Linked DNA regions of Diceros bicornis minor. The protein of the gene in region 3 binds, or shares a complex with, the protein of the main gene of each other region. Links are inferred from orthologs where the notes say so. Each region holds a gene or a part of one and is shown on either strand. Other genes may lie near its edges. The genes, in order: SNRPD2, SNRPD3, GPKOW and SNIP1.

What was found.
Region 1: GPKOW (region 3) and SNRPD2 share a complex: the UniProt entries of both Homo sapiens proteins name them as parts of the minor spliceosome. The link is inferred for Diceros bicornis minor from reciprocal best matches to the Homo sapiens genes GPKOW and SNRPD2.
Region 2: GPKOW (region 3) and SNRPD3 share a complex: the UniProt entries of both Homo sapiens proteins name them as parts of the minor spliceosome. The link is inferred for Diceros bicornis minor from reciprocal best matches to the Homo sapiens genes GPKOW and SNRPD3.
Region 4: GPKOW (region 3) and SNIP1 share a complex: the UniProt entries of both Homo sapiens proteins name them as parts of the minor spliceosome. The link is inferred for Diceros bicornis minor from reciprocal best matches to the Homo sapiens genes GPKOW and SNIP1.

Annotation. Positions count from the first base shown.
Region 1 is NC_080773.1:19,907,275-19,914,604, reverse strand, and holds the start of SNRPD2 (small nuclear ribonucleoprotein Sm D2), read left to right. Parts: upstream 1-4,319; 5' UTR 4,320-4,412; coding exon 4,413-4,414; intron 4,415-6,056; coding exon 6,057-6,236; intron 6,237-7,330. Other genes in the region: QPCTL (glutaminyl-peptide cyclotransferase-like protein), read right to left, coding at 1-45, 1,722-2,003, 2,744-2,887, 3,382-3,591. UniProt on the Homo sapiens protein: Plays a role in pre-mRNA splicing as a core component of the spliceosomal U1, U2, U4 and U5 small nuclear ribonucleoproteins (snRNPs), the building blocks of the spliceosome.
Region 2 is NC_080774.1:28,860,902-28,868,793, forward strand, and holds the start of SNRPD3 (small nuclear ribonucleoprotein Sm D3), read right to left. Parts: upstream 3,013-7,892; 5' UTR 2,656-3,012; intron 2,586-2,655; exon of another isoform or gene 2,492-2,585; intron 2,306-2,491; exon of another isoform or gene 2,221-2,305; intron 980-2,220; 5' UTR 962-979; coding exon 836-961; intron 1-835. Other genes in the region: protein GUCD1, read left to right, coding at 3,708-3,750, 7,035-7,119. UniProt on the Homo sapiens protein: Plays a role in pre-mRNA splicing as a core component of the spliceosomal U1, U2, U4 and U5 small nuclear ribonucleoproteins (snRNPs), the building blocks of the spliceosome.
Region 3 is NC_080781.1:42,340,992-42,347,839, reverse strand, and holds the start of GPKOW (G-patch domain and KOW motifs-containing protein), read left to right. Parts: upstream 1-3,848; 5' UTR 3,849-3,886; coding exon 3,887-4,062; intron 4,063-4,838; coding exon 4,839-4,993; intron 4,994-5,092; coding exon 5,093-5,217; intron 5,218-6,848. UniProt on the Homo sapiens protein: RNA-binding protein involved in pre-mRNA splicing. As a component of the minor spliceosome, involved in the splicing of U12-type introns in pre-mRNAs.
Region 4 is NC_080752.1:51,594,312-51,602,173, forward strand, and holds the start of SNIP1 (smad nuclear-interacting protein 1), read right to left. Parts: upstream 3,010-7,862; 5' UTR 2,959-3,009; coding exon 2,732-2,958; intron 1,233-2,731; coding exon 1,130-1,232; intron 1-1,129. Other genes in the region: DNALI1 (axonemal dynein light intermediate polypeptide 1), read left to right, coding at 4,118-4,198, 4,733-4,878, 6,691-6,860. UniProt on the Homo sapiens protein: Required for pre-mRNA splicing as component of the spliceosome. As a component of the minor spliceosome, involved in the splicing of U12-type introns in pre-mRNAs. Down-regulates NF-kappa-B signaling by competing with RELA for CREBBP/EP300 binding.

The DNA.
Region 1 (7,330 bases), on a different chromosome or scaffold from region 3:
CTCCTCGCCGTCCAAGAAGAGCAGCTGCAGGGTCACCGGGGCCGCCTGCGGGAGCCGGTGGTCAGGACCAGCTCGCTGCCGCCCCCGCCTCAAGCCACCCACGTGGCTTTCCTGCCCGCGTGCACAGCTGAGTGGGGCAAACCAGCCAAGAGTACAGACTCTGAACCAGGCCGCCTGGGTTCAAATCCCGGCTCAGCCGCTGCGTAGCCGATGAGCCATGGGTAAGTTACTAACTTCCCAAAGCATCTGTTTCTTTATGTAGAAATGAGGTTCATCCAGGTCTAATCACAGGGCGGGATTCGAATCCAGGTCCTCGATCAGTGTCTGGCCTATAGTAACTAAATAAGGGTTGGCTCTGATTATTTTCATTATTCCTCAAGCTTGTTTAGCGAAAGAGACAGACCTACAAATGAATAATTATACAAACAGTGAAATGCAGTTGAGACACATGCTTCCGAGAACTACAGGGTCCTGAGAGCGCGTAGGAAGGGGGCGGAGGATAACCTCGCTCAGGAAGCACATCTGGGTCTGTTGGGAAGGGATGTTCGCGTGGAGAGTGAGTGGGAGCTGGTCTGGCAAAGTGGAGCAGAGGGAAGAGTGTTCCCAGGCAGGGAAGCAACATGGAGCAGGGCTGGGGCGAGAGGGGTTTGAGAAAAGGCCCGAGGGTTCAGCAAGGGCCAGGGAGCTTGGGGCACTGGGGTTTGAGCCATGGAAGGGGCTGAGCAGGGGAGGAGCGTGAGGGGACTTGTGTTTTCGTTCATTCATTCCATACATTTTTTTTTTGTGAGGAAGATCAGCCCTGAGCTAACATCTGTGCTAATCCTCCTCTTTTTGCTGAGGAAGACCGGCTCTGAGCTAACATCTATTGCCAATCCTTCTCCTTTTTTCCCCCAAAGCCCCAGTAGATAGTTGTATGTCATAGTTGCACATCCTTCTAGTTGCTGTATGTGGGACGCGGCCTCAGCATGGCTGGAGAAGCGGTGCGTGGGTGCGCGTCCAGGATCCAAACCCAGGCCACCAGTAGCGGAGCGCGTGCACTTAACCGCTAAGCCACCGGGCCAGCCCCATTCCATACATTTTTATTGACCTCCTCCTCTATGCCAGGCAATATTCTGGGCCCAGGAAATACAGCAGGAAACAAAAGCAGCTAAGTCCCTGCCTGTATGGGGCTTATTCTAGTTGGGGAGAAAAACAAGTCAACATAAAGCAGCATAAAGCATGAGATAGTGCCAGGAGCTATTTTAGGGGGGTTGGGAAGGCCTCTTTGAGGAGGTGACTTTGGAGTGGACACCTGAATGAGGGTGGGAGCCACCCAGGAAAATGTCTGAGAAAAGCACATTCTGGGCAGAGCAAACAGCAAGTGCAAATGTCCTGCGGTGAGAGTGAATTTTGTGGGTTTGAGGTACACAGATGAGGTGGGTGGCTAGAGTGGAGTGAGCGAGGGGTGAGAGGTGGTAGATAAGACTAGAGAGGTAACAAGGCACACCTCATGGGCCACTATAAGGACTCTGGCTTATGCCAGAGGAGTGAGGTGGGAGCCATGGAAGGGCTCCCAAAGGGCAGAGGAGGGACAGGATCTGACATTCAGAAGGTGGAAAGATCCCTGTGGCTTTGTGTGTGGAGTAGAGGCAGGAAGACAAAACCAGGTAAGGGAGGGTGGTGGCTTGGACCAAGGTAGAGGCAGCCCCGACTCCCACCCTTCCCCTTCCCCCACTCCTCACCTGATTCTTGGCTCTGCTCAACTCCAAGTCAAGGGCTTGGGCCAGCTCCAGGAGCAGGGCGCAAGGCACAGCTGAATCTGTGGCCCCCACGAAGGGGGCTGACCCAGATGGGAAGAGCTTGGAGTCGTAATGGCAGGCAAGGGTGAGGTGACGGGCAGCCCCTGGGTCAAGTGTGGCCACCACGTTGCCAAAGTCCAGTGGCCCCAGGGGCGTCGAGGACGTGAAGGGGTCCAGCTCCACATGCCAGCCTGCCGTCAGGGCCCGAAGCGTGGCCTCCAGGAACTAGTGGCGAGAGAGGCGGGAGGGTGGGCGGGGACTGGGGAGCAGGGCCATGTGACCTGAGCCGTGCAGAGCAGCCAGGTTGACTCACAAGTCCCACTGTGGTTTAAATCATTCCCTTGACACACTTCTGCTGAGTCTCTACTGAGTGCCAGGGGTGGGGTGATCCCGCCCCTTGATGCCAACAAGATTAATCACAGCTCCCTCTTCAATAGCACTAGGAACCCTGTGGGGTAGGAACTGTCAATGGCTCCATTTTGCAGATAAGGAAACAGGCACAGAGAGGTTAAGAAACGAGTCCAAGGTCACACTCCAAGTGGCTGAGGTGAGATTTGAACTCAGGCAGTGTTCACATGACTATCCATGCTTTCTGGGAAGCAATATAGAGATGTTACAGCACCAGCTCTGGAACCAACCTGTTTGGGTTGAAACCCTAAGTATACCATTTATTAGCTGTGGGCTTTGGACAAGATGCCTAACTGCTCTGGGCCTCAGTTTCCCCATCTGCATAACGAAGATCACATTGGTACCCACCTCACAGGGCTGCTGCTTGTGCCTAGCACATAGCACGTTTTCGGTGGGGGCAGTACAGCCTGGTGATTACCAGGTGGGACTCTAGAGCCAGATTAGCTCCAATCAGAGCCCCAGCTCTGCCTCTTAGCTGCTTTGGGATCTTAGGCAGAATGCCTATCTCCTGTTCCCTGGCGGGCTGCGGATCAGGGGTTGGAGGCGGGGCCCTTTACCTTTCTGACTTGGAGATTGCCCGGGCTGCCCGGGGTCCGTACAACCAGCAGGGGGCGCAGATAAGCGTTCCAGAGACGCTGTGGGTCCAGTCGCCCCACCACCTTCCGCAGCCGGGCTTCGGGGAGGCTTCCGATCAACGGGCCCTTGGGAGTGGGGTGGGATGGGGCAGAGAAGAGCAGAGTGTGATAACAACCCCCATTCCGACCCTACCCCGGGCGCCGCCACCCCTAAGAAGCCCCAATTCCTCTCGCTAATCGCGGTCTCTAGCATCGGAGGTTTCTAGGATAAATTCTAGACTCAGGAAAAGTCCCTCCAAGCCCATCCGGTCCAGCCCACCCCAACCCTGATGGGGAAATCGAGGTCCAGCGAGAAGAAGGGACTCCGCCAAATAGCTGACTTTAGGATTAGAACCCAGAACTCTGTCTTATTACTCCAGACCCTTCCTCTTAAAGCGGAGCCACTGTTACAGAACAAGCCCGAAGCTTCATTCCATTGGCAAGGGGCGTGCGATCTAATGACCGAGACAGTGGCACCTGCGGTTAGGGCCATACGAGAAAGCCACGTCAACCTGAGACCTTAGGGAAGGGGAGCCGGGGAATGAGGGCCCCCGCGGTGCCCGCCCCCCGCCCGGCCTCACCCGCAGCTCCCGGGCCGGCGGCGGCTCCTCCGTCCGGCGGTGCCAGCCGCTCCAGATGGTGTAGAACGCCCAGGCCACGGCCAGCGCCAGCAGCAGCAGGGGCAACAGCGGTACCCGCGGTAGCAGGCGGCGCTTGGGCGGTGAGGGTGGCTCCAAGAGGCCGCGTTCTCCGGGCCGTGGCCGGGGCCGCCCGCGGCCCCCGGAACGCATGGCAGCTTCGCCCTGAAACCGGTCCGGGACCGCGGATAGAATTTAGGCCAAGCCAAGTCCCACCCCATGAAATCAGCGGACCAAAGAACAAGAGCGGCTGAACCATCCGACCCTCCTGCCAGCACTGAAGCCAATGGGGACTCCCGCTCTGAGGACACGCCTCCCCGTCTCCCGCGGGCTTTGGGGTTGGTTCCCCCGGAGGGCTGCACAACCCAAAAGGGAGCGCGGAAGGGGTGGACTCCGCCTCAGCGGAGGAGGAGAAGCCAATGAGAAGCGTTTGATCACGTTAAACAGGCGCCCTCCGGGGCGCAGGTCCACGCCCCTCCGGATGTAGGCAGAGGATTGGTTACGCGGAGTCGGAAAGATCAATAGACACGTAAATAACCAGCCCCCGAGGGGAAAGGGGCGGTGTCCATCCCTGAAGCGAGGAGCGGATTGGCTTCGCGGAGGCCGCGCCCCCGGAGGCAGGGCCGGCGGGTATTTGGAAACGGCGTGTCCTTTCCCTCCTTCAACCTGTGCCGTTCTACGACAAAATGGTTTGGGTCGAACCCGCTTTCTTTTCCTCTCCGTGGTCGTGAACATCTGCCCCATACGGTCCCGAATGGCCTCGAACCACTACGCAGCACTCGTCTCCCGCCGCTGGGCCGGGCGGGCGGGGATCGCTATGGCAACAGGCCACGCCCCCAGTCGCGGGTTGGGTGTGCGCAGGCGCCCACGGAAGTGGGCTGCCGGAAGCGGAAGTCCCGCCTTTCGCTCTCTCTTTAGAGGCAGAAGCAACGCGGAGAAGACGGGAGTGCGTTGAGAACGCAGTCACTGCCACCATGTGAGGCCGGGCCGGGCTTAGGTGGCGGGAGTGGGGTTGAGGGTGTAAACTGGGCCGCTTACCGGTGGAAGGGGGTGGGCAGAGCGGGGGGCGGGGGCAGAGAGTTTAGGGTTAAAGTGGCGTACTTTTCTCCTGATGAGTTTGCGCACGGGCGTGGGGCCTTTGGCGGATCCTGACCTCGGGAGAGGGAACGGCTTTATCAGATAACGGGCGAGGGCTTTCCCAAATGCTTAGTCTTGTTGAAATGAATGTTAAGGGGCAGTGATTTTACGAATAAAGACCCTGGGAGAGGGCAGTGCGGACTTGTAGGAATAAAGGTTTGAGGTAAGGGACTTAACCGGATCTTATGAGCTTTACGACCTAATTCGCGACTTTTACGGATAACGAGTCCCCGGAATGATTTGACTTATTTATTCATTTAGTAATTATTTATTGACTGCGCATGTATCAGGCACTGCTTTAGATACATCAGTGAGTTGTCTCCCTCCCAAAGAAAAAGTCCGCCGCTGCAGCTTATGGGGTGGGAAGAAGCATAAGTGTAATGATAATAAACAGGTAAAGTATATGGTGTGTTAGGTGACCAGGGCTATGGATGAAGAAATAATGGAGCAGCAGAAAAACAATGGGGAATGCCGGTTTTGAGAGACTGAAGGACACAATGAGGAGGCATCACTTGAGCGAAGACCTGAAGAAAGTGAGAGAGCGAACCACAAAGATACCTGGGCGGGGGGTTGCTAGACTGAGAGAAAAGCAAATGCAGAGGCCCAGGATGAAAGTTTGCCTGATATCTTCAAGGACCGCGGAGGAGGCCACTGTGGCTGGAACAGCCAGAAGGGGGCAGATGTAGGGCATTGTAAAAACGTTGGATTTTACTTTTTACACCAAGAAGGGAGCCATGGGAGGGTTTTGAAGAGTGAGATGATATGACTTAAGTCTGGAGAACAGACTGTTGGGGAGCATGGGTGGAGGCAGGGAGACCAGTAAGACCCTAGGAGAGAGATGACGGAGCTTTAGGCCCTGGTAGGAAATGGTCAGATTCTGGATATATTTTATTTTGTCGTTTTCTGGATATATTTGAAAGGCCCATGACAGGACTTGCTGACAGATTGAATGTAGGATGTGAGAGAAAGAAAGAGAAGAGTCAGGTCGGTCCTGTGGCGTAGTGGTTAAGTTCCATGTGCTCTGCTTTGGCGGCCCAGCTTCATGGGTTCAGATCCTGGGCACAGACCTACACCACTTGTCAGCCATGCTGTGGCAGCAACCCACATACAAAATAGAGGAAGATTGGCACAGATGTTAGCTCAGGGCTAATCTTGCTCAGCAAAAAAAAAAGAGAGAGAAGAGTCAAGTTGGCCTCAGAGTTTTTGCTTAAAGAGCTAGAAGGGTGGAGGTGCCAGTGACGGAGATGAGGAAGGCTATGGATAGAGCAGATCGGGGTGGTTGGGAGATCTGGAGCCCAACGTAAGAGGTGCAGGGTTAGAAATGTCGGTTAGGCAGCCTAATGGTGCTGCCAAGCGAGAAGACTGAGGTGGGGGGGGGGTTGGGGGGGTTGGGGCAAGGTCGGGAGGCCTGAGCACAGGCCATGACCACCCACGCTCCAGCCAGGCCCTCTCACTCACGGGTTCCGTGCTTGCCCACTCAGGAGCCTCCTCAACAAGCCCAAGAGTGAGATGACCCCGGAGGAGCTGCAGAAGCGGGAGGAGGAGGAGTTTAACACGGGTCCCCTCTCCGTGCTCACGCAGTCCGTCAAGAACAACACCCAAGTGCTCATTAACTGTCGCAACAACAAGAAGCTCCTGGGCCGTGTGAAGGCCTTCGACAGGTGAGCGCCTGGGTCTTGGGAGGTGTTCCGTCCAGGCCTGGAGAAGCACTGCCAGCTGCCCTATAGGGAGCTGGAATAAAGCATTTCTCAGAAGCCCGGGGCATAGTATCTCAAAACCCCGAAGTGTGACTGTCCCCCATTGCCCTTCCAGCTGTGAAGTGCAGTGGTTATGGCCACGTACTTGGCAGCCAGTCCTCCCGGGGTCACGCCCCAACTCTGCCTCTTAGCAGCCATGTGACCTTTGGCAAGTGACTTTCATCCATACAGTGGCAGTGATCATGGTGGTTGCAAAGATTCAGTGACTTAATATAGGTGAAGTTTAGTGGGTCATTAGAAGTACAGCATCTGGCGCACAGGATGCTCCTGATCCTTTTTTGCAGTTGTGACATAGCGTGTCCGCCCGTGCCGGGTACTGTGTGAGGCTCTGGAGATATAGCAGTGACTAAAACAAACCTGGGTCCTATACTCAGGGAGCTTATGCTGTAGGTAAGAAAGCCAGCAGCAAACACATAAATAATGTGTCATAAAGACAGATGATGACAAGTTGTATGAAGAAGAGTAAAGGTAAGAGGGTGGAGTTCTGAGAAGGGGGTGCTGTCTTAGATGTAATCAGAGAGGTCTGGTCGGAAGAGGCAACAGTGAACAAGTTGAATAAAATGAAGGAACAAGCGGGGCCAGCCCCGTGGCGTAGTGGTTAAGTCCCGTGCTCTCCGCTTCAGTGGCCCAGGTTTGCAGGTTCAGGTCCCAGGCGCGGACCTACACCACTCGTCAAGCCATGCTGTGGCAGCAGCCCACATAGGAAATAGAGGAAGGTTGGCACAGGTGTTGGGTCACGGCTAATCTTCCTCAAGCAAAAAAAAAAAAAACAAGATTGGCACAGATGTTAGCTCAAAGCGAATCTTCCTCACCAAAAGAAAAATAAAGGAGCAAGCTAGGGTCTGAGTGTTTCAGGCAGAGGGAACAGCAAGTGATTTTTCCTCTCTGGGCCTCAGTTTCCCTATCTGCAAAACGTGCATCATCATAATACCCCTCATTGTACAGTTGTGCAGATTAAACGTTATTATGTATGAGAAATACTTGGCTCAGTACCTAAC
Region 2 (7,892 bases), on a different chromosome or scaffold from region 3:
CTCCTGCCTACCCCTACTCCTTCTCCTTTATTGTCAGTTCCTCCAATAAGTCTCTTGCACAACTAATTTTGTCTTGGCATCTACATCTCAGACAACTCAAAATAACACCATTCCCATTTTACGGATAAGGTAACTGAGGTGATTAACATGCCTAAGATTAGACAATTAGGATTTAAACCCACATGTGATGGTTTAAAGAACAAGAGAGAAAGTGTGCTGATACACTTTGTAAAGCAATGTTATACAAACTCACGTGATTATTAGCAAAAGGCAAACAAAATCGTGCCACGGGAAGGGCATTGTATCAGGAAGCTGCCCCAACATTTATTAGCAGATTGACATTCAGTAGATGAGTCTATTAATCTTATTCTCCCTACTATACGGATGACAAACCTATCACCAATTCTGCTTACCTCACAAGGTAGTTGCTATAATCAAACAAGATGCCTCCTCCAAGAAAAATGGCAAACATAGCACGTGAGTGTAAGATTCTGCTTAGCACCAAGCATTACGCAAATGTGTAGGGGCAAATGGATAATGGCCCCGATCCTGACGGATTCTACTGAAGGTAGTAGAGCTATGTTTCCTAAACAGGTCTCCAAAATATGGAAGAAAATGATTATGGGATGGAGAAAACAAAGCACAAAGTTAAATATTCCCAATGGCTCTTATTTATGCCCAAATGCCCAGCCACTATAACAGTTCCTAACACACATCAGGCACTCAATAAATAACCGAGGAATGAGAACAACTTCAAAAAGACCTCCAATCACCATCTTTCTGTCCAAGACAGAGGCCCAAGCTTCCCCCCAGCCTCATGTGCAAAGCAAGATACCTGGCAGTTCATGTTGTCCTCCGCTTCAATGAGCTTCCCACGATACACCTCACCGGTATTTGTCTCACATGTCACAATGTGACCCTCAGCCTCGTGTAGGACTTTAATGGGCACGCCAATAGACATCTTGGCAGGAAGAGAGTTCTACGGTGAAACAGACAACAGTTAGTCCATCTTTCAGAGCCTGAGAAGGCATGTAGCACACACCATGCCTCCCTCAAGGCCTGACACTCCATAAAACTTAGTAAAAATGCCAAAGCTGCACTTTCTATAGAAAAAAGGAGCTTAAGGGGCCAGCCCAGTAGCCTAGTGGTTAACTTTGCATGCTCTGCTTAGGCGGCCCGGGGTTCACAGGTTCGGATCCCAGGTGCGGACCTATGCAGCACTCATCAAGCCATGCTGTGGCAGCGTCCCACATACAAAATAGAAAAAGAGTGGCAGAGATGTTAGCTCAGGGCCAATCTTCCTCAGCAAAAAGAGGAAGATTGGCAACAGATATGAGCTCAGGGCCAATGTTCCTCACCAAAAAAAAAAAAAAAAATAGAGCTTAACTCCTAGCTTGAGGACCCTATCTGGCAAACACATGCAAGATGTGGGGTAGGGGGAAAGAGGGGGCCTGGGAATGAAAAGAAAGTACTTTCCATCTCCCTCCCTGCTACCATATGTCCCTTTATCTTCATCAAATAACCATTAACCATACTGTGTGTTGGGGGAAAGGGGGTTGGAATGAACGTGCATACAAGGTATCTGTCAACCCATAGTTGTGGTTAACACCACTTTGAGAACTCATGACATAGACCTGAGCTGTCCAATACAGTAGCCACAGTCCACATGTAGCTATTTAAACTCAATCAAAATGAAATAAAATTAAAATATTCAGTCCCTCAGTCACACTAGCCACACTTCAAGCGCTCAGTGGCTACATGTGGGTACTAGTATTGGGCACATGTGTACAGTATCAGGCAATTCAGATACAGACCAAAGGATCCAGGCAAATCTGGTAGAAGAGGCTGTGCATTCAATTCAACCCATTAAGTGCCCATGACCCTCCACTTACTTCACCATCAAGGCTAAAAAGAAAATACAAAGTGCTCACAAAGCGACAATGTGCAGGAAATCCAGGTAGGAAAAATATAATCAGGGTAAGTGACTGACTTGATGTCACAGAAGAGACAAGCAGTGGACTTTTTATTCCAAGGTGAGCAACGACTGAAGGTTGGAACATATTATGTGTGGTCAAGACAGGAAAGGGAACACGAGGTTGGGAAAGACAAGTTCCCTTGGTGAGGAGCTTTAGGAGTCTAGATTTTATACTTGAAGGCAGCGGGGAATCACTGCAGGATTATAGGTAAGGAATGATCAAATGAAAAGGCAGCAGCACTTACAACAAAATGGATCGAACACGGTTTAGAAGCAGGGAAACTTGACAGAACTTCTGTAACAGCGTGGAAAGCAGGAGAGGACCAGCGGCTGAAAGGGGGATGGAGGCAGAGATGCAAAGAACTTTGAAAAAGATTACCCAGGTAGGATTTGGGGAAGGAGGCAACCAGCCAGGAATGATTTCAAGACTACTGCCTGGATGCTTCGAAAAACACTGACTTGGAGAGGTATAGAAGGCGAAGAACATGTACTCTGGGGAAAAGCTAATGAACTCACTTCCAGGCGCTAGGGAGGCACCGCTGATGCTCGGGTGGCCCAGCCTTCTCCGCTCTTCTCCCTCCTCGAGCCCTGCAGAGCTCGTCGGCAGCGCCTCCTTCCCCAGCCCCCGGGCCCTCACGGGTGCCTCGGCCTACCCTCGCCCGCCCCCGGCCTCTCCTCACCGGCTCCGGCCTCCTCTTCCTTTCTAGGGCGGCAGGGACTCTGGCGAACGCGTAAGCGTGTGGGGAACTAATGGCGGGGCCCGCGCTCCCAGAATACCACGCGTTCCCAAAATGCCTCGCGCAGGACCCGCCCCTTTCCTTTTCCTAGCGGTGACCGCGGTCTCGTCTCTCCTTCCTCCTCACTCCGCCGGCTAGGAAACGTGCGCTCTAGTATGATAGTTCCGGCCCCGGAATGGACGGCTGATGACCGGGCCCAGGTACTGCCGGAAACACCGACCCCCGGGGCGGCAAGGGGAGAGGACGACTCGCGCTTCCTAGCACCCCAGACCAGGGACGGACTGCACCGCAAGGCGGGGATCGGGGTCGGCAGGCAGTGGGGCCGAGGGTCCAAGACCTCCCCTCACAATTTAATCTTTGGAACCCGGCACCTCTAGGTAAGGGGCGTCCTGATTGAGGCGACCTATCTCACCGTACGGATAGGGAAACAGGTATAGAGTAGAGCGGGGGCAGGCCCAGGGTCGTGGTCTCCCGAGGCCCGCGGTGTATGGGGCAGGACCAGACCTTAGACCTGAGGCTGGGGCTGGGCAGACACGGAGCTTGCTAAGGGAAGAGCCTCTGGGGAGCCAATGTTCCTGGAACGCTGGGGTTAGGGGCGGGGCTCAGGAAAGGGGCGGGGCTTCCGGGGAACGGAGGCGGAGAAGGGCCTGCGCGTCTGCGCGAGGGCTGGGAAAGGGGCGGGGCCACCAGAAGCCGAGACAGCGAAAGGCGGGGGCGGGCTTAGAGCAGGAGGCTTGGGGGCCTCTAAGAACAGGACTCGGGGAGAGGGGAGGGGAGGGGAGGGGCTTAATGAAGGGGCGGGCCCCCGGATCCCAGGCCTGGAAGGGCCGGGGCGGGGCTTGGGGCGGCACAGCTGCCGCCTCCCCTTCTCCCCACCGCGGTGGCAGTGGCGGCAGAGGAGCACGACACGCGCCGGCCCCGCTCGCGCCCCAGCCAAAGGCGAAGCTGCAGCCGGCGCCGGGCCGGGGCCATGGGCGCCCCGCGCCGCCCGGGTCATGAGGACGGAGGCGGAGGCAGCGGGGGCGCCGCTCGAGTCCGGTCAGTGCTTCCCCGAGGGCCCACCCCTCACCCCGGGGAACGAGGGGACCCCGCCCTAGCTCGGGGCAGGGTCTGGCTGCGCGACCTTGGGCTGACCGCCGCCTCAGGCTGTAGAGCTTTGAGTGAAACCTGGCCAGGTGTACACTCCCGCCTGGGCCCCCACTCTCCCCAGCTGCCATCAGTTGGTGTTTCCTGTTACTCCCAGGGTTGGGACCCCAGTAGTTCTGATAGCGGTCGTGATGGGAGGGTCCTGATTGTGAGGCAGGGGCGCCACCTTCCCCGAAGCGAAAAGTCCTGCTGGAGCCGCAGGTAGATCCTGTCCCCTAGGGGAACTGTGGGAGAACTGACGCCTAGAAGGGCGGGGAGCTGGCCGAGAACACAGCAGTGGGAGGTCCCCTTCCCCTGGCCTCCCCGGCTTAGCCTTTAGTCTTGCTACAGTCCTCATCCTCTGGTTCCTTCTGCCCCAAGGTGGTCTGAGTTCCTTTAGGGCGGAAACCAAGACTGACATCCAGTGCGTGGGCCACAGTTTGCTTCTCTAAGTGGGGGAGGAAGTAGTGATTCCTGCTCCGGGTGAGGTGTAGGGTTGATGAGAAAGAGAAAGTAAACTCTAAAGCTAGTAAACTTTAAAGTGAGGTACCAGCTCATGGGAGAGGTCAAGAGCATGCCCAGCCCCACCCTAAGGCATCAGTGGGACCATGGTGTCCCACCTAGGGAGTGGTCTCTTTTGTGATTACAACAAGGAGTAGGGTCTGATGCTGTCCTGGGATTTGCATCCCTACTCCTCCAACTCTGTGATCTTGGACCAGGCGCTTGCCTTTCCTGAGCCTCCGTGGAGTAATGGCTCACATTCGTGGGGAGCTTTCTATGGGCAGGCACTGTGCTAAATTGTTTACATGCAGTGCCTCGTTAATCCCCATAACGACCCCATGAAGTAGGTTACCATCGTTATTTGCGCTTTTGCAGATGAGCAGACTGAGGCTGAGGGGTTAAGTATCCAGGGCCAGTGAGCTGCCTTCCTTCCTTGGCGACACCTGCCAACTGAAGCCAGGCCAGGGCCTTCCAGGCAGACGCTAGCTCTCAGGTGAGACAGTCCCTTGGCTCCAAGCATCAACAACTGGCAGCAGCTTTGGGCTTGGAAGGCCTCACCTACCCTTATCACTCCCCACAGGAGTATCTCTGAGTTCCATTGGGCTGACCTGCCCCTGCCAAGACTGGGATGGTCAGGTGGGGATGTATAGCCCTGCCGGGTCTCAGGATCAAGGTGTTTTAGGGATTGGGGCAAGAAGAGGAGGGGCAGTGGAGTTCCTGAGGGCCCTACAGAGAGCTGTCCTATGCCACATTTACAGCTAGGCATAGGAGAAGGCACAGACAGAGTCAAAGCCTGGCCAAAGATGGCCCAGCTAGCTGATGTGAGAGCCCAGGCCACAAAGTAAGTAGGGAGCTGTGAACAGAGGTCCATAGTCTGGAAGCCTGGGTGGGGGAGCATTGCAGTGACAAGTAGACATCGCAAGGGATAAGGCCTTTTTGGAAAAACGCCTTCCAATCACCGAGCATGTATGAATGCCTGCACTGGGCCTAGGGCTGGGAAGAGACAAATGCAACCCTGTCCCTGCCTGTCACTGAGGAATTCTTGGCCTGTCTGGTGGGGAAGGCAGACACCACCTCAAATACTCCATATTGAAGGGCTCAGAGAGGGAAAGAAACCAGAGCATTTGGACATTCAGAGATGGGAGATAACAGTCTGACTAAGGGATATGCAAGAGCAAAGGCTGAGGAGTAAACAGCCTGTGTAGAGAAAAACAAAAAGGGCAGTTTATGGCCACAGTGAGGGGTTCTTGATAAGGGAGGTATCCCACCATGAGGGAACAGCACCCTACTTAGAGCTCTCCTTCCACTCAGCTCATTGGGGGGAATTATTTTAGAATATGAATCCCTGGAGGACAGGGCTTGGGTCTTGGTCACCTTTAGTGTCCCCAGAGGCTAGCACACAGTGGGTGTTTAATAAGTTCATTTCTTCCAACAAATGTTTATTGAGTTACTACTAAGCATTAGACACTAGGCACTGGAAATAACAGTGAACAAGATTAGCAAATTCTCTGCCCTCAGGAAGCTTATAGTCTAGTGGGGAGACAAAGTAGCTTTAGTTTTTTTTTGTTGTTACTTTTATTAAGTACTGTGAAGGAAACAAACAGGATGCTGTGAAGGAGGGCCCCCCCTACAGCAAAGGCATAGTCAGCAAAAGCCTCTTAGAGGAGGAGACTTTGAGCATTGCCTCTCTAAGGCACACCTCACCCTTTTCCCTAGTCTAGTCCCCTGTTTTTCTCTTATACTTGCCTGTTTTTGCTGTCCACCGGGACAGGGCCCTGTCTATGTCTCTCACCACTGTATCTCCAGTTATGTGCCAGGCTCTTGGGAAATATTTGTTGATCGAATGGCTGAATCAGACCAAAGTCCCCCACTTTAGAGATGGCCAGACCCAGACCAGCAAGAGGAAGTCAGCTACTCAGCCCACAGCCAGCCAGTGACAGAGCCAGGGCTAGAATGCCTAGGTCTGGCCCATTCTGCTCCGCCTCACTGCTTGGCAAGGACAGACTGAGCGGTTGCCGAGGATAGCTTTCCACATACACTGATCACCTTACAGTCCCTTCCTCCTAACTATGGTCTTCACACATTGTTGGCCCAGGGGACTTTGGAGTCAGGCAAACCTCCAGAGGCCTCGTGAATTCAGACATGAATATCTGCTGAGTGCCTCTCATGTGCTGGCCCTATCTCTGCCTCCCTGGAGCTCCCACTGCTCTGAGAGTGCACAGAGTGGGGGGGCTGAGCATGACGGGCAGCGTCGTGGAGAAGTGACGTCCGAAGACAGGAGTTAGCTCAGGCGCCTGTGATGCCAAGAGAGTCCAGGCAGAGGGAGTAGGTATGCAAAGGCCCAGAGGCATAGGGGATCACAGCAGCTGAAGGTCTGCCTGGAGGGTGACCTGTTGAGGATGAGGGGAGGTGAGGAAGCAGAGGGCGCTGGGGCAGCAGCCTTGAAGGCATTGTCCTAAGAGATATGGGAACCAACCCACTGGAGGATTTTGAGTCAGGCTGAGCTGTTCCGACTGGTGTTTTGGGAGATCACTGCTATTGTAAGGAGAAAGGGTCGGGGGGCCTGAAAGGCTGTGGGCTGGCCCCTGAACAACCCCTGCAAGATCTGGGCAGGAGCCAAAGACGGTGGCTCCAATGGGGGCAGCAGTGGTGGGCACTATGCCAAGGGTCTGTGACCTCCCTGTGTTTCCATGCAGGGGATTTTGTGCAGCTGCCCGTGCCCATCATCCAGCAGCTCTACCACTGGGACTGTGGCCTGGCCTGCTCCAGGATGGTGCTGCGGTGAGTGGGCAGGCTGAGGCCCTCCCCATCCACACCACCTTCTCCGGGTTGGGGAAGACAGAGGGAGAGACCTGGGTGGGATTCATCATCCATGTGGCTGTCCTTTGTTGGGGCTTGTGGGAAGTTCAGCTTCCAACCAGGCTTAGTCCCATCTGCAAAAACAAGAAGTGGACCAGGCCTTCCAGGTCTCCACTCTGGAAATGCCTGAGGGCTCTGGGGATGGTCAGGGAAGTTCCAGGTGCCTAGGCCTGGCCCACAGAGTCACCCCATGATGGGACAGAGGGCCCTCCACCCTTCCAGCCTCGGGCTCCTGGGAGACTGGGTCACTGGGGAGTTGACTGCTAAGCTGAGGCTGTGTGAACATCACAGGAACCTTGACCATCAGAGCCTGAAGGGACCATAGCCATGTCCTTGTAGGAGAGTTTTTAGGTGGCTGCCTGGAACCCCAGAGAAGCCTCTCCCTTACCTGTTTTATATCTTGGAGTTCCAGGCAAGAAAAGGTTCAACAAAAGGTGTCTGTGCCTAGAACTTAGAAAATCACTGACGTGGTCCAAGCACCTCATCCTAGAAACAAAGCTAATGAGGCCAGAGAGGGCGGCAACTTGCCCAAAGTCACACAGCCTGCAAGAGACTCAAGAAGCACAATCTAGGCCCTCAACTCCGAGGTCAGCATGGCACCCCAGGCAGCCTCAGGTTGTGTCCAGGCAGTATGTGGGCAGGACATAGGGTTTCATGCCAAAGGGTGGAGACTTCTGGGGAGTGGGAGCTCTGAT
Region 3 (6,848 bases):
CAGTGGCACTCAAACTTCAGTGTGAATCAGGATCACCTGGAAAGCTCGTTAAACACAGATTGCTGGGCCCTACCAGAGTTTCTGATTCAGTAGGTCTTGGGTAGGGCCTGAGGATTTGCATTTCTAAGGAGTTCCCAGGTGCTGCTACTGCTGCTCTAGAAAACCACTGCTCCAGAGTAGCTCTGTGCAATAGACATTTAATAAGAGCTACAAATGTGAGCCGCATACGTAATTTTAAGTTTTCTAGAAGCCATAGTAAGTAAAAAGAAACAGGTGAAATCAATTTTAATTACATGTCATTTGACCCAATAGATCCAAAATATAGTCATGTACTGCGTAATGATGTTTCCGTCAATGACGGATCTCATATACGATGGTGGTCCCATAAGATTAGTACCGTATAGCTTAAGTGTGTAGTCAGCCATACCATCTAGGTTTGTGTAAGTACACTCTATGATGTTCACACAATGATAATATCACCTAACCACACATTTCTCAGAATGTATCCCTATAGTTAGGCAACGCATGACTGTATTATCATTTCAACATTTAATCAGTATTACAAAAGTTATTAATGACTTATTTTATTATCTTTTTGGAGGATTAAATCTTCAAAATCTAAAAAAAAAAAAAAAGAAAAAAGAAATACCATATGATCCAGCTATTCCACATCTGGGTATTTATCCAAAGAACATGAAAACACTAATTCAAAAGGTATATGCACCTTTATGTTCATTGCAGCATTATTCACAATAGCCAAGACGTGAAAGCAATCCAAGTGCCCATCAATGGATGAATGAATAAAGATGTGGTATATATGTACAATGGAATACTACTCAACCATAAAAAAGATGAAATCCTGCCATTTGCAACAACATGGATGGACCTTGAAGGTATTATGCTAAGCAAAATAAGTCAGGCAGAGAAAGACAAACACCGTATGATTTCATTCATATGGGGAAGATCAACACATAGACAAGGAGAGCAGATTGGTGGTTACCAGAGGGGAAGGGGGTAGGGGGAGGGCAAAGGGAGTACAGGGGCACATGTGTATGGTGACGGATGGAAACTAGACTTTTGGTGGTGAACACCATGCAGCTATACAGAAGCCAAAATATAATGATGTACACCTGAAATTTACACAGTGTTATAAACCAATGTGACCTCAATAAAATAATACATTACAATAAAAAAGTGTCTTTTCTCCCATTGCATTTTCACCACAAAGTTTTGGTGGTGAAGCAACCCAGGGTAGCTTGGCGTGATCTCCAAGGTATATGTCAGGAGCAAGCCAGAGACCAGGTGTGAACCAGCGGAGAAGGCAAGACTCTTTCAAGGACCTCTGGCCCCAGCCTGTATAAGCCTGTATCGTGCACACTGCCTCAGGTGGCTGCTTCAGGAAGTGAGTATCACTTCAGCCTTGGACAGTTAGCCTCCCAGGCAATGTTCACATCATTAGTAGTAAGATATAATGTCATGAACCGCCTGATATGATGTGATGAGAAGAGCACATCACCTCTGTGGCGTTATTGCCAAAAATCCATAACCTCAGTCTAATCGTGAGGAATCATCAGATAAGCCCAAATTGAGAGACATTCTACAAAATAACTGAACTGTACTTTACAAAAGTGTTAAGGTCATGAAAGACAAGGAAAGACTGAGGAACTGTCATAGACTAGAGGAGACTAAGGAGGCATTACAATTACATGTAATGTGTAATCCTAGATTAAATCCTGGAATGGATAATGGTCTATAGTTTAGTTAATAGTATTGCACCAATGTTAATTTTCTGATTTTGATAATTATACTATTGTTATAGAAAATGTTTAGGAGGATCTGGATAAAGGATATACAGGAACTCTCCATACTATTTTTGCAACATTTCTTTAAGTCTACATTTATTTCAAAATAAATATTTAAAGATTTTTGGTTTTGTCGTTGTATATTGAAAACCACAGTGGCTTCACCTTTGAGATTCCAGGGCCCATCCCAGGATGTCTCCCAGGATGCTAGGGACTTCCAAGCCTGGAAACATGGCCATGAGATTGACTGAATATTGGGCTTCCCGTGTTCAAGACCATCCCCTCACCCACCATACTACTCTACTTTCCAAACATTATGACTATGTCCCCATTTAGTTTAATTATATTTATAGCTTCACATTTATTTATTTATTTATTTATTTATTTATTTATTTATTGTGTGTGTGAGGAAGATCAGCCCTGAGCTAACATCCAATCCCCATCCTCCTCTTTTTTTTTTTTTTTGCTGAGGAAGATTGGCCCTGAGCTAACATCCATGCCCATCTTCCTATACTTTTATATGGGATGCCGCCACAGCATGGCTTGACAAGCGGTGCATCGGTGCGCGCCCAGGATCCGAACTTGCGAACCCCTGGCCGCCACAGCGGAGCCTGCGCACTTAACTGCTTGCACCACCGGGCCAGCTACAATAGCTTCACGTTTAAAGGCTCTAGGAGGGCCGGCCCGGTGGCTTAGCGGTTAGGTGCGCACGCTCTGCTGCTGGCTGCCTGGGTTTGGATCCCGGGCGTGCACCGACGCACCGCTTCTCTAGCCATGCTGAGGCCGCGTCCCACATACAGCAACTAGAAGGATGTGCAGCTATGACATACAACTATCTGCTGGAGCTTTGGGGGAAAAAATAAATAAATAAAATTAAAAAAAAAAGGCTCTAGGGGCCGGCGGGTGGTGAAAACGGTTAAGTGCGCACGCTCCACTGCGGTGGCCAGGAGTTCGCAGGTTCGGATCCCGGGCGTGCACTGACGCATCGCTTGCTAAGCCATGCTGTGGCGGTGTCCCATATAAAGTAGAGGAAGATGGTCACGGATGTTAGCTCAGGGCCAATCTTCCTCAAGAAAAAAGGGGAGGATTGGCATCAGATGTTAGCTCAGGGCTAGTCCTCCTCACACAAAAAAATTAAAAATAAAAAAATAAAGGCTCTAGTATATTCGTTCCATCCAAGGCATGTGCTATAATTAATTTACCCTACTCCCTTCTGTTGTTCATTTAAGTGGTCTTCAAGCTTTTCCTACTATAAATAATACTATGATGAATCTCATATAAAAATCTTTTTGCACATATTCAATGATTTCTTTGGGATAAATTTTTAGCAGATTTGTAGTATTCTTTTTTGTGACTATTTGTTTAAGTATCAATCTTTTACTTTACAAACTCCCGAGTAGTGGGGACTACAGGCGCGTGCCACCGCACGTGGCTTTACAAACTCTTAAGGTCTTACACAAGAGGAATCTGTCTCAGTAATCTTTTGAAGCCTTAGAACCTGGATCTCACAACATATTTAATATCAGTAGGAAATATTTTTTTAAAAATATCCTTTTAAGTGTCATTGTTTCCCATTGGACTCCAAGCTTCTAGAGAGGAGGAGGTCTATTTTATTAATATTTGAACCCAGAGCTTGTCGAGTATTAAATGTAGCATCGGTAGGCACCATTTATATGTCTATTTATTATTGTACACAAATTAGCACTCACAGATTTTTTCCTTACTGATTTATTTTACCTACACTTCCCACACCAGTAGGGCACGGTAACGTGTACACAGTAGGCGATCAATAAATACTTGTCAAACGCTTACACGAAGGAAGGAATACCTGGCAAGAATGGCTCCACCTTCTACCACGCCTACCTCCCTGAAGAACTACATTTCCCGGTACGCTTGGCGCGACACGCTCCTACGAATTAAAAAGAGCGACAATTACTTCCTACCGACCCCTATCCGCCTCCGCCTGCCGATGCCGCAGTGTTTTATGGGAAAGGTAGTTCTGGCACGCGTTGTCCGCCCCCGGAAAACTGAGCCCAAACTAAACTTCCCAGCAAGCAGCGGGCCGGCCTGGGAAGAAGGGAAAGATGGCAGACGCCGAGGAAGGAGTTTTGCGGCTGGCGGGAGCCTCCAATGCCCCAATTTCATTCAGCTTCAGTCGCACGTCCGCCCGGAGACGGCTGGCGGACCCGGGAGATGGCGCAGGTGCAGCTCCGGAGGAGAAGGATTTCTTGAAGACCGTGGAAGGGAGGGAGCTGCAAAGGTGAAGCGCCGGGTCTTTCATCCTTTGGAAATCCGTGCGGTGGGTGCAAGCAGGAAGGTGGAATCTGAGTTGATTGTGTTGGTGACAGTGACCTGAAAAGGCTGAAGCACAGCCTGAGGAAATTCGTGGAGGCAAGAAGGCGAGAGTTTGTAGGAGAGGTGGGGAAATATAGCCTGATGGCCTTGGGGATTGAGAAGAGAGAATGTATTCTTGAGGAGTGTCTTTAGGACTTGGGGACCCTGAGGTGTGTGCGTTCTGAGAGCAGGAAAGGAGGGGAGAATGACAGGACCCCAGCGTCTCAACTGAAGTGGTGCTTCTCCGATAGGGGGAACGGGACGGAGCAGCAGATTCAGGTTGGGGGAGTCCATCATCAGCTTAGTTCGGGAAGGAGAATCTGAGGGAGGTACTTCCAGAAGAGAATCAACCATCCAGGAGGCTGGCGTGGAGCCTGGAGCTGGGGAGAGAGTCTGGGCTGAAGATGGTGATTTGTGGGTTATTGTGGAAGCCATGGAAGTGGGTCTTGGGAGGAACAGAAGGTCCAGGACTGAGGACTGATTCCTCAAAAGCACTGACATTTAAGAGTTGGACATGGGGAAGAGAATCTGAAGAAAGCACCATCAGAGACGTAACTGGAGAGCCAGACAGGAGAACGGAGGGTGTGGTCCGTGGGGTTGGGGGAGAGTTTGGCTCTTGTGTTTTCTCTGAGTGAAGCGGTGTGGCTCAGAACCTACTGACAATGCTACTCTCCCAACTTCACCCCTCTGTGTCCACGTCAGTGTGAAGCCTTCAGAAGCCCCCAAGGAACTCATCATCCCTTTGATCCAGAATGGCCATTGCAGGCAGCCACCGACCCAGGCCCCTAGGCCATCCACAGATACTGAGGCCTTGGCGGATGGGGTGCTGTCCCAGGCTGTGAAGGAGCTCATTGAGGGTGAGTGATCTCCCCTTTGCCTTGCCCCAGTGAAGGAAGAAGGGGAGGAAAATGGAAGGATAGAGTGAGACCTCATTGCTCCCTCCCATTCTTCCTTAGAATCCAAGAAGTCTCTGGAGGAGAGAGAGAATGCGAGTGTCGACCCCACGCTCGCTATCCCCATGATCCAGAAAGGATGCACCCCCAACGGGGAAGAGGCAGACGGCGAACCCCGGGCTGAGACAGTGAGCTGGCCCCAACCCCTCTCCTGCCCCAGCCTTTCTTTGCCCTGTCTGCCAGGCTTGCCTCCCTGCACACAGCAGGGAAAGTCTGTGTGTACTAGCCACCTGCTGCCTATCCCCTCCTCCTTCCATCTTTTTTGGAAGCATTAACAAATGAATCCAAATACTGAGGCGTGAAAAAGTAGTTGGATTCTGGGATTATCTGAATGACATGAGGAGTAAAGGAAACAGGAAATATAAAGACCCTGAGGATAGACTCTTCCTGGGGTGTTTGAGGAACACCAAGGAGACAAGTGTAGTTGGAGTGGAATGAGTGAGGAAGAGGAGGAGTAGATGAGGTCAGAAGTGGGGGGCTAAACCAGGCAGGGCATTGTGGGCCATGGTGAGGACTTTGGCTTTTACTCTGAATGAGATGAGAGCCATGGGAGGGCTCTCAGCTGAGAAGAGATGAGACTTATGATTTGACAGGATCTCTCTGGCTGCTGTGAGCAGGACACACTAGTAAGCAGAAGTGGAAGCAAGGAGACCAGTAGTCCAGGCTAGAGATGGTGGTGACTCAGACCACAGTGGTAGGAGTCAGGCCTGGAAGGACAGGTAGGGTTTAGTGAGACAGGGAAGAGCAGGATGAGTACTCCTAATGGCAGCGATGACCCAAACAATGGTATGGTGGCAGGAAATCAGTGTGGTGTGTGTCTGTCAGTGAGGCAACTTGTGGTGTGTCTGGAGGGACTATAAAGAATTGAGGGAGTGATGATGGGAGGTGATAACCGGAGAGATGAGGGGCGTGTCTACAGAAGTAACCAAGTCTGTCTTGCATACCCATAGACCCCACTTTCACCTCTTCACTCACAATCTTTTTGCAGTGCTTCTTTGGAGCCCAGTTCTATAGCCCCAGACCACCTTCTCTTTCAACTGAATTGTTTTCATCAGCCTTCAGATGTCCTCTGGTTTCTTTTATCTGAAAAAAAAAAAGACTTGCACTTCACTCTCCATTCTGTTCCAGTTTGGTCTCATTTCTCTGATCTTCCCTCCTTTCGCAGCCTTCCACATCTGAATTGATCACAGTTCCAGCCACCCTTCCCCTCACTCAGCCTAAAACCTTAGAGTCACCCTTGACTCCCCTGTTTATTTTATACCCCATAGACAACCTGTCAGCAAAATCCTATCATCTCCCTTTTCAAAATACATCCAGAATCTGACCACTTCTCACCATCAGCACCACCACCACTCTGGTCTGAGCCACCAGCATCTCTCATCTGGACTCTTGAAGTTACTTCCTCACTCGTCCGCCTTGTGGCTGCCACCCTCTTGTGGCTCCTGCCCAGCTCTCCTGATTAACCTCTTACCACCCCTCTCTGCCTCCACATCTCTGTTTCAGTCAGGTTGACTTGCGGGATGCTCTTCATACATACCAGATCTTGTCCTCCTTTAGGGCCTTGGCTCTTACTGTTCTCTCTGCGTGGAACACTCTTCCTTCTCATATCCTCGGGCTCCCTCTGTCATCTCCTTCTGCTCTCTGCTCAGATATCAACTCAGTGACACTCCCTTCTTCATCCCTCTGCGTGCCCTTAAGCTGCATTATTTTTCTTCATATAACTCACCACTACCTGACGTATCGTGTTTTGTGTCTTTTG
Region 4 (7,862 bases), on a different chromosome or scaffold from region 3:
CTCAGAATATAACCATTTTTTTGGAGATAAGATCTTTAAAGGATTAAGTTAAAATGAAAGTGAGGTCCTAATCCAATACGACTGGTGTCCTTATGAGAAAAGGAAGAGACACCAGGGATATTAGCACACAGGGGAAACACCATGGGGGGGCACAGCCGAGAAGGTAGCCATTTGCAAGCCAAGGAGAAAGGCCTCAGAAGAAACCAAATCTGCTGACACCTTGATCTTCGACTTCAAGTCTCCAGAACTGTGAGAGAATAAGTTTCTGTTGTTTAAGCCTTCCGATCTGTGGTATTTTGTTATGGGAGCCCTAGCAAACTAACACAGACACTCTGGAAAACAATTTGGCAAGTTCTTAAAAAAAATTAAACATGCAACTACCATATGATCCAGCAACTGCACTCCTAGGCATTTATCCCAGAGAAATGAAAACTTAAGTTCACACAAAAACCTGCACACCAATGTTTATACAGCAGCCATATGTGTAATAGCCAAAAACTAGAAACAACCAAGGTGTTCTTTAATGGGCAAATGGTTAAATCCATACCATTGAATACCACTCAGCAATAAAAAAGAATGAACTACTGATAGATGCAACAGCCTGAACAAATCTCCAAAGAATTTTACTGAGTAAAAAAAGCCAGTCCCTAAAGATTACATACTGTATGATTCCATTTATATAACATTCTTGAGCAACAGAATTATGGAAATGGAGAAGAGATAAAAAGGTGCCAGGAGTTGAGGGGTATGGGTGGGAGGGAAGAGGGTATGACTACAAAGGACAACATGAGAGATGCTTGTGGTGATGGAAATGTTCTGTACCTCGACTGTATTGATGTCAATACTCTGGTGCGATATTGTACTATAATTCTGTAAGACGTTACCTTTGGGAGAAACAGGATGAAGAGTATACCTCTGTATTATTTCTCACAACTGCTTGTGAATCAACAACTATCTCAAAATAAAAAGTTCAGTTTAAAAAAGCAAGCAGAAAAAAAAACCAAAAACAAAACCAGTTTTTAGCAAAGCCCACGGCAGGTACAGGTGAACACATACACAACACTCTCCAGCTAGGATGGGAAGAGGCTCTAGATTTGCACCTAGTGTCAAAACATTTCAATCCACTTACCTGCTTCACTTTGACTGTTGAGTGGTGAGGACTTCGGCTTCTCTTACTCCTAGGAGACTTGCTTCTTCTCCCTGAGGACTTGTTTTTCTTTTTGGCTGGGGACCTTTTCAGAGCATGGGACACACAGGATTTTATCTCGATTTCCCTTCCTCCACACAAATTAGCTGCAACTATCAGGCTCACCTACTAACACAAACACATTTGTGAAGGTCTCTGCCGATCACACAAAGGAGCCAGGAGCTTCTGTTTCCTAGTCCTAACGTCTCCCTTGAGTCCTGGACCCACATATGTAACTGCCTACTGAATATTCTCACTTACATAACATAACTCTTGATTCCCAACCCCTCAAAAACCTTTCCTTGGAGCAGGCCCGTGGCCTAGTGGTTAAGTTCGGCGTACTCCGCTTCAGTGGCCCACGTTTGGTTCCTGGGCACGGACCTACACCACTAGTCATCGGCCATGGTGTGGTGGCGTCCCACATACAAAACAGAGGAAGACTGGCACAGATGTTAGCTCAGGGCAAATCTTCCTCAGCAAAAAAAAAAAAAAAAAAAAAAAAAAAAATTTCCTCTCTGTCTTTCCTCTCTGCCATCTCTGTAACTGGCACCACCATCCACCCTCTTCCTCAAGCCAAAAACCTAGAAGTCACCCTTGATTTTCTTTTTCCTCACCACCAACAGCCACTCCCTACTCTTCCCCCACAATCACATTCAACCCATCAGCTCCGGCTCCATCTCCTCCCTCTCCCACCTCATTCCTACCACTCTTCTTGATCACTACACTGGGGTTTGCTGTTTTTTTTTCCCCCCTATTTCTAGAACAATTACAATTCATCCTACTTCAGGTTCTTTGCACATGTTGTTTCCTCTGCCTACATCTTTACATGGCTGGATTATTATCATTCAGGTCTCAGCTCAAATGGCACCTATTCGGAGGGGCCTTCTCCCACTTCCCTCCAATCTCTCACTATCACATGACTGTTTTAACCTATCCCTAACACGTGTCATTAACTGAAACTATTTTATTTGCTTGTTATTTTGTCTCAGGGCTAGAGCACATCAAATTTCGCGAGGGTAAAGGCCACCTACCTTGTTCACCCTTACAGCCCCAGTCTTGAGCACATAACAGGTACTCGGTAAAACTATGTTGAATGAATGAATAAATGAGCCAATCCAGTAGAAAACAATTTTCTTTTTCCAGAATTTCTATCAGGGAGATCGCCTAGGCCCTCGATGTGTAAACCTTTCCGGGCAGATGACTGAAAAGACAACGCCCGCACTCCATTTGCAGTCACATGGGGAAAATCTTTCATTTCAACTTAAATGGTCAGTCCTACCTGCTGGGCCATACTCCGCGAAATGCTGCGCACTCAGAGATGAAGGGGCGGACCCTGCTCGTTAGATTAGCCGCTTAACGCCCAGCTATAACGCAAGTGACAGGTACCGGAGTAAACATTTAACCCAAGCACTAGCGGGTCACTTCCACCGCCTTAGGATGAAGTCCAAGCTGCTGCCCTCGCTTCAAGGTGTGCTTCTGACGCTAGCCCTGTCCTCCCTTCTCAGAGCCCGACGTAAGGTCCACCCCGGGCTGCTTCCCACTTACCGGCTACCTCCTCGGGCTCGGTTCCCGCGGTGACCCGGGCGGCCTGGCTCGCCGGCCGGCGGGGACGGGCTCCCGCCGGCGGAGTCCGGACGGCGGTGGGCGGGGGGCGCTGCTTCCGGGCTGAGTCGCTCTTGCTTCACCACCACGGCCGCCGCCGCCGCCACCATGTCCCCGTCCCGGTGCCGTCGCCGGCTCCCCCGCTCCCGCTCGCTCTTCACCTCCTTCATGCTGAGAGACCCGCTGAGCGAAGCGAAAATACGTCCGTTGTGCTCCTCTCGCTGAAGGAAATGACGGGCTTTACACCCCCCCCCGCACTTCCGCTTCCGGGGTGCGCGCTCTCCCAGAAACCCTCGCGGCGGAGGGGCTAGACACGTGACCACGACTCCGTAGTCGGCGGGGCCGTAGGGACCCGGTTCAGGTGGCGGGAGTTTTGAGTTTCAAAAGCAAACTTCTGCGAAAAAGCTACTCTCAAGGCTGTTTGTTGTCGCGTTATTAGTAATTACTAAACACGGAGACAACCGAAATGCCCAGCGGTGGGAAATTGTTTAGCCGATTGATGGATGTATGTCGCCATTCGCAGTGCTATTTACAAACTGTATGACAAATGGAAAAAACCCTGGTTTGTTAAACGAAAGAAGCAGGATACAAAATTGTGGCTATGTTTACGTTTGAAAAGAGAAAGAAAGGAGAAGAGAAGGAAATGCAATCATAGGTGATAGCCTGTGGGCAAATCATTAGTATTTCCCCTCTATTCTTGAACTTTCTTTTATGTTGTCATTTCTCCATTTAATTAAAAAATACTTTTTATTTTATTTATTTATTTTTTGGTGTGAGAAAGATTTGCTCTGAGCTAACATCTGTGCCAATCTTCCTCTATTTTGTATGTGGGGCACTGCCACAACATGGCTAAGGAGTGGTGTAGGTCGTGCTGCGGGTTCCGGGCTCTGGGATCCGAGCCACTGAAGTGCAGCCCGCCAGCCAAGGGGCCGGCCCCCACAAATACTTTTTAAAACCGGGGAACTCCAGAGGCCCTCCTCTGGGAATCTTTCTCAATCCTTCACTGAGGAGTCAGATGACTCCCATTTTGCAGGTGACAAAATCGGGGGTCAGCGAAGGTGATCTGCCACCTTATTCGAATTGTGAGCTAGACGCAGCGCAGGGACTCGAATCCGTTTTCTCTGCTTCCAAGAGTACCGATGCGACCCGGCGAGCAGGAGGCCTGACAAGCGAAGCACGGGAAAAGCTGGGCAGAAACTCCCGCGCCGCTGGCCCCGCCCCACCCCGAAGCCCCGCCCAGGCCATGAGGCTAGGAGAGGTTTCCATGGTGATGGCAAACAGGGCCATGATTCGAGGGGCCGCCGCTGGGCTACTACCTTCGCCGCCGCCATGATTCCCCCCGCGGACTCTCTGCTCAAGTATGACACCCCGGTGTTGGTGAGCCGGAACACGGAGAAACGGAGTCCCAAAGTAAGGACGGGTCTCAGGGGGCGGAGGAGCCCGAAGCTCCAATGAGAAGAGAGACCCCGCGTTGAGGATAGGGAGTCCCGAGGGACAGAGGCTGGGAGTAAAGGGACTTGGAACGGGGGAAGGAGTGTGGGAGAGCGTTACAAGAAGGCCAGATGTTGGGTAACCCCAGAGGGCAGATTTAGAATGGGGAAGGAAGTCACAGGGAGATGAATGGGGCTTACTCTTTTTCATGGTAGCTGGGTCCAAAATAGATCTGGTAGTGATTTCACACCCATCACTAGAGGTGTGAAAGCAGAGGCTTGAGCACCCGTGCCAGAAACATCACTTCAAGGAGATACAAGCATTGGGTTGGGGTAGGACCAGAGGCTATGGCCCCCTTCAGCTCTGAGATGTAACTTCTGCTGAGAAGACAGGTGGGGAAAGTGAGCTGGGAATAGGGGACGATGTGCAGGAGACCTGGAGCAATCCAGAAGGCCAGGATGTGTGGAGCTGAGTGTCTGTCACCTCCTGCCCTAACTTGTCCCTTCTTCTCAGGCTCGGCCACTGAAAGTCAGCCCCCAGCAGCCTGGACCCTCAGGTCCAGTCCCGCAGCCACCAAAAACCAAGGTCCCCTCAACTTCCTGTGTCCCAGATCCTACAAAGCAGGCTGAAGAAATCTTGAATGCCATCCTGCCCCCAAGGTAAAAAAGTAGGAGCAGTGTCTGGGAGAAGGCCCAGGCTTTTGCATCCTAGAACTTGGGAATGTGGGAGGAGGCAGTCTGTCTCTGTTCCTGGCTGGGATTTCCTCCCAGCATCCCAGAGCTCCTAGAGCTTGCAGATGGCTGGATGCTGAGAGGGTGGGAGGAGACCTCTTCTCTATCCATCCTCATCTCCTGAGGGCTCGCGCCCAGGCTCATGGCTTTAGATCCCATCTATACGCTGATGGCTCCCAAATGTGCATTTCCAGCTCTGTCCTATCCCCTAAACTCCAGCCCCATATGTTCTACTGCTTCCTCATTATCTTCATGAGGATGTCTAATAGATATCTCAACTCAGCATGTCCACACTAAATCACAATTTCTTCCTCCTCCAACCTGCTCGTCCCCAGGCTTCTCCTTTCTACTAGGCGCTCAGGCCACCTTCCATTCCTTTTGGTCCCTCATGTCACATGTCCTATCCTTCATCAAATTCTTTTGGCTCCACCTTAAAATTATATTCCAAATCCAGCCACTTTTCACCACCTCTGCTTCCACCATCTTGTTCCTGTCACTATTTGTCACCTGCAGTACTGCAATGGCCTCCTATCTGAAAACCCTGCTTCTACTCTTTGCCCCTGTAATTTAATCTGCACACTGCCCTGAAATCATAAGTCAGATCATGCCAGTCTTCTGCTAGAAACTCTTTAATGGCTTCCCATTTCGCTCAGGCTAAAATCCAAAGTCCTTACAGTGGCCTGGAAGAGCTGGCGTGATCTGGCTCCTGATAGACCCAGGATCTTATCTCCTGGTATTCTCCTCCTTGTTCACTGTGCTAATGCCGCAGAGGCCTCTGCTTGCTGTTTCTGAAACACTTCCATCGCTCTTCCACCGCAGGACCTTGGCACTTGCTGTTCTCACTGCCAATGACACTCTTCCTCTGATATCTGCCTGGTTCTCTTCTTCACTCAGGTCTTGCTCAAATGTCGTTTCCTTAAGGAGGCCTTCCTTGAGCATCCTTGTAAAAGAGCGCCTTCTTTCTTCACCATCCCCTTACCTGGCTTCTCTCTTCTACAGCCACATTTATCACTATGTGGCATGCCTTTTTGACTATTTTTATGTAATAAGTTGATAGCACAGTTTTTAAGGCTATGATGGAAAGGAGAAACAGTAAAAGAGAGACTGCGATTTCCTCCGAGAAGGGGGTCAAAGAGGGGAGTGGGTGATTTTTCAATTGACGCCCTCCTACCAATGCCTGGAAATTCTCTCCCCCATGGCGGTTCTATCCTCAGGCTCCTTCCTTGTAATTCTGGAACCTGGCCATGCCTCTGATACAAGGTTCATCGTGGGGAGGCCCACATAGGCACACACCTTCAAGAACCTCCCCTCTCCCCAGTACACACATTTGCCTCTTTCTGGCTGGCACAAGATTTGTGGTGCCCTGTGTCTCCCACCCGACAAGTCAGTGGAGAATTCCCACTGGGCCTTCTGTTGAGATCAACAACGACCATAAGTCTGTCCTCAACATGTAAAGAGGGTAAGATTTGGAACGTGGGTGATGATTTCATGGAGGGCTGTGGGAGAGTGGAGATGGCCCAGCTCCAAGGTAGAGGCTTTGTGGAGGCAGCATAGTGAGGGTGGCCTTGAAACCACACACTCCCCAAGGAAGAGAGAAGGATGGAAGATTCTGGTGGGTCGAGGACAGAGCTGTCCCTCACACCTCTCAGGCAGAGAGCTCAAAGGGCCTTCTCTGCTCATGTCTCGAGGACCCTCTCTGGTCAATGGGTTTTGCTCAGGCTGGCTGTGTCTGTGCCGCAGGGAGTGGGTAGAAGACACGCAGCTATGGATCCAGCAGGTGTCCAGCACCCCCAGCACCAGGATGGATGTGGTGCACCTGCAGGAACAGCTGGACCTGAAGCTGCAGCAGCGGCAGGCCAGGGAGACCGGCATCTGCCCTGTCCGCCGGGAGCTCTACTTGCAGTGTTTCGGTGAGTGGCTGGGGGCGGGGTACGGGACACCTGCCTCCTTCCCTTCCTCTTCAGCACAGACCCAAGCCCTGAGTATCCCCGAGCTACAGCCTATCCCATCCTGGAATCATCTGGTCCCTCCCACCCAGGGACCGCTACATGCGCCCCCTCCCCGTCCAGCCCCACCTCTCCTACCTGTCCCCCACCTACCAGTCCCCCACTTGACAACCTGGTTCTTCATCCCGCAGCAGTTGTTTGGAGTAAGATGAGAACTTCCATTTTAAATCTTCGTTTTTTTCCAAGACTTCTATAATAAGCATGTGTTAATTTTTTGATTAGAAAAATTAATGTTCTATACTTATATCCATCTATCAACATTTGGCCCTTGGTCCAGAAAAATATTTCAGGGTAATGTGTTGTTAACCGACGGATACAAAGGATTTAAGATTTCCCTCCACAAGTGCTGGTGTCGAATGTCTCTGTCCCTCGCCCACTTTCACCGGCCGGTGTGGACTCTGACATGCAAACCACCTCCAAACCCTGAGGCAGCTGCAGAGTCTAGCAGCTCCCTTTAGTCGGCGTATGATTATGGTTGGCCCTCCAGGTCAGCCTTGATGGAGGAGACGGGTGGGCGAGCTCTAGACCCCGCTGTTGCCAGCCCCAACCCAGTCCAGCCAAGGGGATTTCCCAGCCACTTTAAAACAGCCACCATCTTCAAATTGAAAAAGGCAGCTTTCTTTGAATAGTACCCAGTTTCTGGCTGAGGATGGAAGAGAGGGGCCCCATGGCTGCAAACAAACCTAGGGCTCCTGTCTCCCTCTGCCCTGGCCACAAGGGGCTTGTTGACTGCCTGTGCTCCCAAGAGCCAAGTTCAGAGTGGTGGCTGCATGGCAGGGCTCCTGGGGCCACTCAAGGCCACTCCCTGAGGCCTGACTCCAAGTGAGGAGGACACACCCTAGAGCCCTTCCCAGTGGGAAGTGTGGTTTGCAGCAGACGTGGTGCATTTCTGCTCCCGCCTGTCTT